Linked DNA regions of Neurospora crassa OR74A. The protein of the gene in region 1 interacts with the protein of each later gene in a pairwise test. Links are inferred from orthologs where the notes say so. Each region holds a gene or a part of one and is shown on either strand. Other genes may lie near its edges.

Region 1 (4,285 bases):
TTCATGATGATGATGATAATGATGGTCAACAGGTTGGGTTTTATGAGGATGATGAAGAAACAGATCAATTCCGAGAGGTTGAGAGAATGACAATGATAAACAATGTATGCCTCTTTGCGAATTCTCACGATATATGTATAAAGAGAAGGCCGGTAGTCAGTTTCTTTCATGGAGATAAACGATACTTTTTGGACCCACGAATACAATGTGCTGGAAATCGACGTCAAGACCACCATGAGATTCGACGGCCGAGGAAGACCTGATATCCTCAGAGTATCCCAACATGTACAAAGCCGTATTTAATCGTACGGGATATGGAACAACCTACCAAGCAGTTGGTTAAAATATAATTCACACCTTTCATCAAAGTATGGGGTTTCTATCGTGGTTTGGGCTTTTTATGTGATCTTTAATACCGAGAACAACTCAAGAGGTATATATGTGTGGGAGTAAAGATCCGCACCATATCGGTTACTGTATTCGGGGGGAAAAGTTTATGGGCTTCTTGGTCTGCGGCCTAATATAACATTGCATCTCCTACACTAGCTGCTCCCTCCCTGAGCCGCTTCATCGACAGCAGCGCCACCAGCACCCCCCGCGGCCTGCTGTTTCCAAGCATTCGCCATGGCCAACAGACTCGACAAGTTCTTGGTCTGCTGATCATCAGCCGGGAAGATATAATCGACATATTCCTCCCAAGTATCATCCTCCAGCTTACGCTTCTTCTTGGTCTTCCTAGGCATTTGTTTCTGAATCTTTTCGATATCCTCCGCCGACCCATGCGTCTTCTCAAACGCCAACCACGCGTTGAGCAGCGACACACGCTCGGCCTTGAGCTCGCGCTCCTTCATGCTCTTGTGCGCCCTCTCAAAGATCTTGCGAGCACGTGCCTTGGCCTCTTCGCTAACAGGCTTCTCTTCCACCTCCTCCTCCGTTTCTTCCTCCTCCTCGGCCTCGTCGGGTATGTTGATCTCGAACTGGGCGTAACTGATCCAGACCTTGGGGTGATCGGCCTTCTCGAGCAGGCGCTCGTACAGGGCACGCGTCCGCTCGTACTCGCCCTCTTCTTCCTCGAAATCGATGTACGCCTTCCATACCACCTCGGGCATGTCCAGGATCGGCTGCGAGACAGCGAGCTCGAAGATGGCGCGGGTGCGCTCGAGATCGTCGAGACCACGTTCCAGCTCGGCCCACTTGATCCATGTTTGGCAGTTGGCCGGGTTGTACATGACATGCTTTTCGTAGAGGGTGCGGCAGCGCTCGAACTCGTAGAGCTTCTGCTCGAGGAGGATGTACTCCTTGAAGATCTTGTCTTTGGGGCACATGCCGATGGCGCGGCCGAGGGTTTTGCGGGCCGTCGTTAGTTGGCCCTGTCGGATCTCGAAGTGCGCCTTGGCAACCCACACTTTGGCAAAAGTGAACTTCTTGTGGGGGATCAGGTTCAGACAGGTGTCGTAGATCTGACGGGCTCGCCCGATATCCTTTGTTTCCCTCTCCTCCCATATCGCGTAAAAGAGGAAGAGGAAAATGTACCGCCTCCAGTGTCGCTTCTCTTGGGTTGGCGGTACTTGAGCAATGGCTCGCTCGTAGACTTCTCTGGTCCGATCGACATCTCCTCCGCTCTCCTCGAGTCGCGCAAAGTCAAACCAGACGTCGTAGTTCTTTGCGTTCTCCTTGACTTGCTCCTCGTACAATCTCCTCCTCTTTGTAAGAATGACGTCCTCCACACCCTCCTTGTCGCCAAACTGCTTTTCAAATGTGGTGTAGTGGGCATGTAGCGTCATCGACTTGGACCGAGGCAAGTTGTCGAGGCCAAACTTGTAGATGGCACGGGCCCGCTCATACTCACGCAGACGGGCCTCGTACCGGGCGAAGGCGATGAATATCCTCTCGTCAACGGCATCGTCGCCTAGCGTTTCGGCAATTGTCTGGATAGCTGTCTGGAAGACCTCGCGGACCGTGTCGCTGGTCCCGTATTCCTCTTCAAACTTGGCCCACTTGAGCCACGTCCTCGGTTCCGGATGGACGGCGGTAAAGGCCCTGAAGATCTCCCTTGCCCTGTCGAACTCGCCGTAACGTTTCTCTAGACGGATATAAGCACTCCACGCCTGCTCATCTGGCTGCCACTTCATCCACCGGTCGAAGACTTGTCTGGTACCCGGAATGTCGCCGAGCATCTCCATAACGTAGAGATACTGGTACCAGAGAGATGTGACTCTGGGCAGCCGCGTGACAGCGCGGTCCAACAGATTGCGTGCATGGTTGATGTTACGGTTCTTGATCTCTGCTTGAACGTATCGGATCCAGAGTTCTGTTGGACATATCGTTAGCGACTGATGTGCGCCACATTTAACAGCACATGGACACTTTGAGTTTAGACAAACATACGAGTATTGTTGGGATGTACATCCAGAGCGCGCTCGAACACAGAGCGAGCCCGCGCAAACTCCTTCTGTTCTAGCTCCCATTGAGCATACTGGAGCCAGTTCGATAGACGAACTCGGTTACGCCGCACGTAGTCCTCAAACTCCTTGCGCTTACGACCTTGGTATTCCTTGAGCTCCTCGAGGTCGGCAAAGCGCTGTGTCGGGGTCTGGAGGTTGACTTCCTGGCGGTCGACGGCCTCGCGCAGCAGCTGCTCGGCCGAGATCTGTACAGGCGCAGGGGCTTTATTCTTCACCCGTGGCGGGCCGCGCGATGACTCCATTGTGAAGATGGGCGTAAAAAGTGGCGATCTGCAGATGTTGGCGTGGTGTTGTAAGTTCGGTTTCTCAATGAGATTTTGGGGTCTGGACGCAACAGCAGCCAGCCACTGAACTCAGTTGAGGACGCGCTGCGATTGATGGACCGTGGCTCGATGCCCCTGCCTACTTACTGAACCTTGCTGCACAGTGGGTATGGACACTTTTCGCTCATCATGTCATTGTACATCTGATAGGTAGTACATGTCCGACCTCAGCGAGCAGGTTCGCCCATAAGACGACGCTGAGCCGCTGGAAGGCCGCTGTATTGGGTGTGGCTGCGAACTACGCCTACTTGACACTATCTACTCACTGCACTGGCAGCTATCGGCGACATACCAAGCCGCACTGTGTACGACCGGCAGGCAAAGCACTGGCGCAACGAGGTCAGTACAGTACGCTAGGCCGTGATGCAACGCCGCGGTCTCTTGCCTCCATTCTTCCCAAAACCAAAACAAGTCGACAACACATCGAACTCTTTTCCATTCTTTCTTCGGCACACGGCAGCTGTTGTACCTGTATCAGCGACTGTCCCGTTTACTCCTGAATCTAACCACCTTGAGACCCGAACAGTCGCCGAATATTCTGCCCAGGAAACAGGGTTTTGCCAACATGTCGTCTACTCTCGACGAGCTCCTCCAGGACTTTGAGGACTCTGGCTCCGAGGCCGGTGGCGAGGAGTATGGCGATGGTCTTCTAGGCGATGGCGTTGACACGACTGGAGGCTCCGGCGTGGACGACGCACATGTACCGATCAATGATGAGGATCAAGATGAAGGCATGGGCGACGAGGAGGGCGAGGACGAAGACGAAGCTATGGGTGGCGTCGGCGCCGACGACTCGAATGCTGTAGAAGATCCCGAGGAAGCAAAAGCCAAGGTTGAGAAGATGCATCTGGGAGGAGTGCGAGATGTTCGAACTGTTGCGACTCTTATGAAGTCATTGAAGCCAGTACTCGAGGTTAGTTCCCTTATACCCGTTTGCGGTGCTCCCTTTGAACATGGAAAAGCGTTTACATCTTATTTGAGCAATAGCCCTGACAGTCTGGATCGAACGTTGCAGAAAATCGCACACTATCAAGCACAACCCGCTCAGGCCAACGACGTCGGCCATGTCGAAGATCACCCGGAATACAACCTCTTGACCAACGCCAACAGACTGTCTACTCTGATAGACAGTGAGGTGGCCCTTGTCCACAAGTTTGTGAGGGATCACTTCTCCGCCAGATTTGCTGCACTCGAGTCGCTATTACCGAACCCAATCGAATACTGCAAGGTTGTTGCCATCTTGGGCAACTCCCCAATGGACTCGGAGAGCATGAAAGCGTTGCAGCTTTCCACCGATAACCCTCTGGGGTTAACCCTCAAGTCAGTTCTTGACGGACCAACCTTGATGATTGTCACGGTGGAAGCCACGGTTTCCAAGGGTCAATTTCTGGGCGAGAATGAGATCCAGCGCGTCACAGAAGCGTGCTTGATGGTGGTCGATCTTGATAAGGCTAAGAAGACCCTCACTGAGTACGTACAGTCTCGCATGAACATCTT
Region 2 (4,121 bases), on another chromosome or scaffold:
TTTCCTGGTCCTGTTCTACCAGCTCGACCGGCTCTCTGGTTGGCTTGAGCCTGCGAAATAGGAGTGACAACCAACGAGTCCATGCCAAGTTTGGGGTCGTATGCGTTCTGCTTGACGAACCCTGGATCAACAACGTAGTAGATATGGTCGATCGTGATGGATGTCTCGGCAATGTTGGTCGCGATAACAACCTTTCGACTCCCTGGCGGCGCTGGGTCGAAAATCCTACTCTGCATCTCGCTAGGAAGGGCAGAGTAAACGGGCAAGATGAGAAGCTCAGGAACGTTAGGGCCCAAGGCTTTCATCCGTTCGTATAGAATTTCGCAAGCCGTGTCAATTTCTTCCTGTCCTGTCAAGAACAAAAGGATGTCGCCCATTGGCTCGCTGAGATGGATTTGCATGACGGTGGTGAGAGCGGCATCCAAGTAGTCTGACTCTGGCTCACGGGAGTAGAGAATCTCGACAGGGAATGTACGACCAGGGATGGTAAAGATGGGGCATTGGTTGAAGTACTCGCTGAACTTGTCGGCATCCAAGGTAGCACTAGTGACGATAACCTTGAGGTCCTCCCTTCTCTTCATTGTCTTTTTCAAAAGGGCAAAGAGCACGTCGGTGGCGATGGTACGTTCGTGGGCCTCATCAAGCATAATGACCGAGTATCTCTTAAGGTCGGGGTCGATCAGGATCTCTCTCTGAAGCATACCGTCGGTCATATACTTGATCTTGGTTGCTGGGCTGGTGACGTCCTCGAATCTGATGGTATAACCAACTTCTTGGCCAAGCTGGCAGCCGACTTCTTCAGAAACACGTTTCGCAACAGACACGGCGGCGACACGGCGAGGCTGCGTACATCCAATCATCCCATTGTTAGTAAAGCCGGCTTCAGCCAGGTATTGAGTAAGCTGTGTCGTTTTTCCGGATCCCGTCTCGCCGACAACAATAAGGACCTGGTTCTCCCTCACAGCCGTGATTAGTTGTTCTCTAAAGGCAAAGACGGGGAGAGATTCTCGTTGCTCCTTGATGCTCATGTTGGTGCGCCTGCCTAGCGACACTTCTTTGGGTGCAACGGCCCTCTTCCACTCAGGAACAGCATCGGGAGCCGCTGGTGCTGCTTGAGCGTTTTTGCGCAAATCACTAGCAAACTTTCTGGTCTCCGGGTTGGCCATAGGATCTTGCCATTGGGAGGACAAGTCAACCTTTTTCTCCTCTGCTTTTTTGGCTTCAGTCTCCTGCTGCCGCAGTTCCTTTCGTTCTTTGGCAAGATTGGTGCCTGCCATGGCGGCGCGGTTAAGGGACCCGTCGGGAGCTTTAACAACGCGGATGGGTGACAGCTCGAGTGACTGTTTGGTCTGTCCAGCCAGGAAGGGAGGTTCCTCGTCTCGAACCTCGATATCAACATCCTCCTCAAGCTCCATCTGTCCCTCGCCTTTGAGTGTTGCCTGGTAGTCCTCTTCAAGTTCTGGGTAATCGGATGCCTTTGCAATGCCTGCCGCAATCATTTGACGAATCTCCCATCTTTCAGGAGACGTCATCCTCTTCTTGTGTTGCCTGGCATTTGCTGTCGCTTGGAATGCTCCCTTGTCACCAAAGCCGTTGGTGACAACATTCTTTGTATCGTATCCTCCTCTCCCGCCCAATGCCTCCATATTGGCGCCCGAACCTATCCGCAATTGCGGTGCGAGGTCCATGCCCGTCTCTTGGTCTACGTCCTTCATCGACAAACCTACTCTACCTCCCTCGAGCTTAATGACTTTGACTTTGACTTCCTGACCCTTGGATAAGAGATCCGAAGGGTGATTGACACGCTGACCGAAAGCGGATACATGTACTAAGCCGTCAACCTTGCCCTTAACGCCATGCAGGTTGACAAAGGCACCAAAGTCCTTGATTCCCGTGACGTGGCCTTCGTAAACCTTGTATAAAATAGGGGAGTCGTCCACCTCGCGCGGTGGTGGCCGTCGGAAATCACCATCGTATTCATCATCATATCGGCCCTTCCGTCGGCCTCTTGGTGGCGAAATTGACCTGGACCTTGACCTCGACCTTGACCGGTATCGCTCCTTGCGCTTCCTCTTCCCGTAGTCGTCTGCATAGTCGTCTCGTTCGGGGGTGCGGCTTCGTTTCCTTGGTCGTTCTTTCTCCGCTCTCTTAGGCTCGAGGCTTTCGAGTAAGGCCAGGGTGTCGTCGATGACATCCACTTCCTTGTCCGGGATGGACAGACCCTTGAACACCTTTGTCTTTTCCTCGGCAGATTGACCATGCTTCTCGTTTTCATCGGCGCGGGTCTGTCCATGGTTTTGGCCCTTGAACTTTGGGTGCAAGGTCAGGACAAGTCTGTCGATACTCTCAACCAAGCTGGGCGGGAAGTCGGCGCCGATGGTGGCCAACTTCTGCTTGAACTCGTCGAATGACCCGCATTCTACTCGTTGGGCGATGATGAACTCGGCGAGCGTCTTTTCGCTGACGCCCAAGTGGTTCTGCAACTCGGACGTGACCTTGGACACGAGCGACAGAAGCTCGAGGCTCTCCAAGTCGTCCATGGTGGTGGCCGTCTGGTGACTTCAGTAATTTGTGGCTATCGTCCGTGAATAAAATCGAAAGTTGTATGAACGTCTCTCAAGCAAAGGAGAGCGTTAGGACAGGGAATTCGACAGCTCCCGTCAACGGGCAGTGGAGGGGAGATCTGTTGTGATGGCTTGAGTTTTCGCAGAAGGTCCAGAAATCCGGCACCTCGAGACGATGTTGGGAGATACAGTGACAACGAATTGCCTGTAGCGGACGCGAAAAGCCGAAAAGTGCAGTGATGCGCGCGGCCTGTCCATTGCCAGCGGCCAGCGACAACGAGGCTCCATGATCCGCCAAGAAATGGAACCTGCCGGAGAGTTCCCGTGACTCATCGTTTTATTCCAGCCATCACAGCCACTTAAAATGGTATGGTTTTGGAAGCGCACGAGTCAGTACTCGATGCCAGTCATTGAAGGGAACCTTGATGGCCACATAACCCTAACCCCGTCTCTAGCGGGCAGAATTGAGTCCGTTGAAGGAACGTCTTCCCTTTGCCCCTGTCGTTCATCGAATCGGGCGGGGTTCCTGGTAGCTTACGCAAGCTCCCCTGGCGCAGGGCCTGGCCTTTTCGGCGCGTGACCCGTCCAGTGACGAAGCCCCATCGGTTGCATCATTGAGGATCCGCAGCCTCTCCATCAGTCCATCTTTCCTCCATTCGTCTTACATCGTTTTGGATGCTTGAACCATTCCACTTACCATAAACATCAAGACCTTCGTTTTCAACCTACCTATTTATCGTCAAAATAGTCACACCTTTCCAGTCCTTTTTATTTGTATCCTTGCGTCGTCTTGGTTGCACAGTACAACAAGCACAACAATGTGGTCCACCGACATCTTCCTCGGCTTCTTAGCCATCCTCTTCCCACCGCTGCCTGGTAAGCTCAACATCATAGTTCAAACGAAGTCGCCTTACAAGGCTATCTACGATCATCCACTAACCCCTTCCCCACAGTCTGGGTCAAAACCGGCATCTGCTCCGCTGACTCTTTCATCAACCTCCTCCTCTGCGTCCTCGGCTTCCTCCCCGGCCTTCTACACGCCTGGTACATCATTGCGAAGAACCCTACCCCACCATTTGACTACGACGGCGCCGTTTACGACGCCAATGACATCGGCCGTGTTGAAAGCGGTCAACGAATTTATGTCTTTGTCCACGACCAGCCCGGCAACAATCAAACCGGCGGTGGCCGCCACTACCACCACCAACAAGCCGCCCACAAGAATCAGCAGCCGCAGCGACAAGGGCCCATGAATTACGGTACCACCGCTGGCCACGCGCCCCAAGATTCGGGTATTGCACATGCTGGTCCTAGCGCAGGAGGAGACAGCGACAACAGCCATGCTGCGCCCCCGCCGAGTTACGCGCAAGTAGTAGCAGGTGATCATAAAATTCAGACTCAGGATTAGGGTCCTTCAACATCTACGACGCCGATACCCACTGTTAATGGCTCTACTTCTGCAACCACCAAGACAGAGGGTGCTACTCGTTCTTTCAAAAATTGGAGGAGTGCGGCTTGCGATTGCCAGTGCGCTTGCGAGTGTCCTGAGCAGCAGTG
Region 3 (4,063 bases), about 4.3 Mb from region 1:
CGCAAGTTCCAGACCAAGAACCAGAAGCTGACTATTGTCGCCATGGGTTTTCTTTTCGACTTTACCGGAAATGCCAATAACACAGTGGTACAGCCCGTGAGGGAGACCATCAAGGAGCAATGGTTCCAGGACGCCATCCGGGAGAACCCCGATGTGTTTGTGGTGATTGGTCACGTCGGCGTGAAGATGCCCGAGTTCAAGGAGATCTTTACAGCCATTCGTAAGCAGAATCGATTAACGCCCATCCTGTTCTTCGGCGGCCATGTGCACGTGCGTGACGCGACGGCGTATGACTCCAGATCGTTCGCTATCGCCAGCGGCCGTTACTTTGAAACGATCGGCTGGATGTCGGTGGACGGTGACCTGAAGAGGACAACCAAAGATGTCGTCGCTGCTGCTGTCAATGACGACGAGCCGCCTTCGACTGAGGCCGCGGAATTCTCGTTCCACCGTAGGTACATCGACAACAACCTACTGGGCCTCTACTATCACACCGGGTTGAACAAGTCCACATTTCCTACAGACCACGGCCGAAATGTATCACAAATGATCGCCCAGGCCCGCAAGGATCTCGATCTGGACTACACGTTCGGCTGTGCACCAAAGAACCTGTGGATGACGAGGGCGCCCTATCCCTCCGAGGACAGCATCTACACGTGGCTCGAGAAGGAGGTTCTTCCAGAGATCGCCATCAACGACGACAGGAAAGATGTCCCTCGTCTGGTTATCATGAACACCGGTGCCATCCGCTTCGATGTCTTCAAGGGCAAATTTACCAGAGATACAACGTATATCATCTCGCCCTTCCTCAGCGTCCTCAACTACATCCCCGACGTCCCTTACGAGGTTGCCAGTAAAGTTATCGGCTTACTCAACAACGCTGGGCGGATCATGGAGGAGCATGCTCCTATGGATGCTCGATTTATGGCCATCCCGGAGCAGTTTGCCATCACACAGGACATTATTCATGAGAAGCCAATGCCTTCCTTCGCGACTGAGGGTCTTGTGGACGGGCAAAAGCCCCTGTCGGGTGATGGCGCCTCTAAGAAGGAGCCCGTTTTGATCGAAGGCTATACGACAAAGGATGATATTGGTGACGATGGCGATGATGCTATCCACTCTGCCATTAACTTCTATGTCGTGCCTAACTGCATCCAGGCCGAAGTTGGGTTCTCGCCCAAGGAGGAGGGCGAGAAGCCTGAAAAGGTTGATCTCGTGTTCTTTGATTTCATTCAACCATGGGTCATGGTTGCGCTGAAGATCTCCGGAGGCGACTACACTAATGATGATGCCAAGAGATATGTCAATGGGACCTTTACGGAATTGATGGCGGGCTGGATTAAGGAGAACTGGCCTGCTAACTGTTAGGCACAACAGCCATGTTGTTCATATAATCTCGCTGGCACGGGAAACTGAAGGCACGGCGGCCTGAGACGGGGCTCGGTCATGCGGTACGGGATGTGTTACATTGGCGTCTATTTCTTGATGACCTGGCTGGATTGAGGGATCAAATATGAATTATGAACGGGATAATGATTTCAGACTGTAAATAACAATGGTAACATAGCGAGTACTGTGCGCAAAACGAATATAAACCCAGCACTTGAGCTGAACCTGGTTGTCGAACCCGCCAAAGTATCATGTATCCCATTACTCTGCGCCTTGAACGCCGCGCCGTATCCGTGTAAATGCTACAAAACGAACCATCACCATGCCCGCGCAACCGACATGTGCCCCCTTCTCCTCTTCCCACAGACCCAATTACAAATCATTTCAGTCATCGCCAGGCTACAACTGATCCAACAGCCTCCGCCTCCTCCTGTCAATAAGCTCCTGCGCAACCTCGTCCATCGTAGGAAGCTCCCACTCCGGCAACGGTTCCCATCCGGGAGGCGGCTCCAATCCCGCCGCCGCCTTCGCCAGGTTCTCAAACGCCTGCCTCTCCCTTGCCGCCTCATACGCCAACAGCTTCTCGTCCTCCTCGTCCGGCGCATACCCGTAATACGCCGCATCCACTTGTTTCCTTAAATCATCTCTCGTCTCCAATGGTTTCTCATCATCCTGCTTCGCCCTCGCCGCCGCCTCAAACAGCTCCTTCACACCGGGTAACTCTCTCGCCCTGCCAAAGTACTTGTACCCCCTCCCTCCACCAGGGATCTCCCGCCCGGCTTCGTCGTACACTTTCCCTCCCGAGCGCATGTAGTTCGGTCCGCCCAGGTTGCGGATCTGCACCTCCCACATGTGTTTTTCTCTCATGAGCTTGTTGATCTCATCGTTGAGGTCGCGGATCTGGTAGTCGGATAGGGCTGGGTCTTGGATGCGGGACACCTTGCGGGAGATTTCCTTGAGGACTTGGCCTCGCCACTTTTCGCATGCGGGAATGCTGTCTTGCTCGGTGATGGAGCGCGGGCGGCGCGTGCGCCCGGCGTCGATGATGCCCAGGTCGGCGGCTTGCGCTTCGCGAAAGCGGAAGAGCATCGACTGGGCTTTTTCGGAGTTGCGTGCCTGGGTTGGGACATTGTTAGTACACGGATTGTACAGACCGATAGAAGAGTCGAACAGTGGGATTAATCAGGAACATACCATTTTGGATGGTGATTATGGGTTGCGCGGGGGAAATTAGGCGTGGAAGGGTATTGTGATTGATAACCTAAGCTTGCTCCTGAGACGAGGCAAGTAGGATCGGCTGGGGATTGAAGGCGCAGTGGAAAGTCTAACTGTGGCCAGCCGTGGATTTTACGTATTGCCGGAAATTCGAAGATGATGTACTGGTACAAGACAGAAGGCTGCAAGGCTGTGATGCCTCGTTTGTTTGGTGGTGTGGCGTTTCTGTGATTGTGGCCCGAGCTCCACTGCAGATGATTACGGGGCGCCGCAATTCGAACGCGTCCGTCCTGAATCTCAACCTGCATCCAACAAGTCACCAGATTGATTACCTCTACACCTTGAACTTTACCATTCGAACGACGAAAATCTACAGCCATCCTCAGAACGCGGGATTCTATTTTATTGCCGCAGTATCGCGCGGCTCTGGAAGTCACTGCAAACTTGAGAGGCTCGGTTTGGTTCGGCTTCCAGCTGAGTAGCTCCTTTCACGTCTGGCGATGCCCGAGGATGCACATCGCTCTTCTTGAATGAGCATGCGAACCGAGGTCTACCTATGAAGCGAGCCAACACTCTATCACCATCCTTTTCTATACTTCCATTTTTTCTTTCATGCTTTTGACCTTTCATTTTTGCAGCCTCAATCTATCAGCGCCTGGCAACGAACCCTCTTCGAATCACAACCACCCCTCCTCAAGCCAATACCTTCAGCTACCTATCACGAACTCACTTACCACTTTCTAGTTCCATTGCCACTTCTTTCATCTACTCCTGGGGCCCTGCAGTGAAGAAGACCATCACAATTCAGGGTGTCTTGATTCCACCGATAGGGGCATCTTTCCTCTTCGAGGAGTCGACGAACCATCTGGCAGAAGATGAAAGCCCAACAAGAACGGATATCTGAGCAGGCCTCTTCAACAACTCGTACCCCACAACTTTCTGCACTACTTCCACCATACTTTTACATTTCCCCTCCTCCTTTCCTCATCAGTTCACATGCACCCCCATCCGGACATGTGTACACCTGGTCCTCTGCTCTGGACCTGGTCCGGCTGTAGCCTCGACCGTCTACCCAGCATGAACGTCTCACAGCCAGCCTTATAAATCGCCGAATCCTACCCATGGAGTGGTTCTTAACCAGAAGTTACGAACCCCTTACCCTATGGAAGGATCGGGGCTTGGTTGCCGCAAGGCTGGATGTCCCGTTTTGGTTTTCCAAGACGGGCATCATGTGAGATACGTTCTGCTAGCTGTCGAGGTTATCAGTCAGCCTTGGTCCAGAGCGGCAGAATCATCTTTGCAGGTGTCTGGATGAAGAACAAGTGTTAGTTAGTGTGGCTGTCCTTTCCACAACTTGGAGTACTTGGGACGCGCACCGCGCACCAAGCACTACCATTGCCGCCGCAATGCCTGGCTGGGAAAGTTACTCTCACCGAAACTCTCGCCTTCACCAGTAAGG

What was found. The genes of interacting proteins can lie anywhere in the genome.
Region 2: the proteins of NCU02717 (region 1) and NCU06318 interact in a two-hybrid assay, tested with the Saccharomyces cerevisiae proteins (2 studies listed by BioGRID). The link is inferred for Neurospora crassa OR74A from reciprocal best matches to the Saccharomyces cerevisiae genes CLF1 and PRP22.
Region 3: the proteins of NCU02717 (region 1) and NCU00664 interact in binary tests that used the Saccharomyces cerevisiae proteins (3 or more experiments, as listed by UniProt). The link is inferred for Neurospora crassa OR74A from reciprocal best matches to the Saccharomyces cerevisiae genes CLF1 and ISY1.

Annotation. Positions count from the first base shown.
Region 1 is NC_026501.1:3,299,789-3,304,073, reverse strand, and holds NCU02717 (pre-mRNA-splicing factor clf-1), read right to left. Parts: upstream 2,807-4,285; 5' UTR 2,708-2,806; coding exon 2,389-2,707; intron 2,312-2,388; coding exon 543-2,311; 3' UTR 339-542; downstream 1-338. Other genes in the region: NCU02716 (pre-mRNA splicing factor), read left to right, coding at 3,354-3,701, 3,804-4,285. UniProt on the Saccharomyces cerevisiae protein: Involved in pre-mRNA splicing and cell cycle progression. Required for the spliceosome assembly by promoting the functional integration of the U4/U6.U5 tri-snRNP particle into the U1-, U2-dependent pre-spliceosome.
Region 2 is NC_026504.1:2,933,110-2,937,230, forward strand, and holds the start of NCU06318 (ATP-dependent RNA helicase DHX8), read right to left. Parts: upstream 2,808-4,121; 5' UTR 2,541-2,807; coding exon 1-2,540. Other genes in the region: NCU06317 (stress response RCI peptide), read left to right, coding at 3,383-3,440, 3,518-3,972.
Region 3 is NC_026501.1:7,640,699-7,644,761, forward strand, and holds the start of NCU00664 (pre-mRNA-splicing factor isy-1), read right to left. Parts: upstream 2,808-4,063; 5' UTR 2,587-2,807; coding exon 2,584-2,586; intron 2,506-2,583; coding exon 1,789-2,505; 3' UTR 1,369-1,788; coding exon of another isoform or gene 1-1,368. Other genes in the region: NCU00665 (Ser/Thr protein phosphatase), read left to right, coding at 1-1,368. UniProt on the Saccharomyces cerevisiae protein: Involved in pre-mRNA splicing and cell cycle control.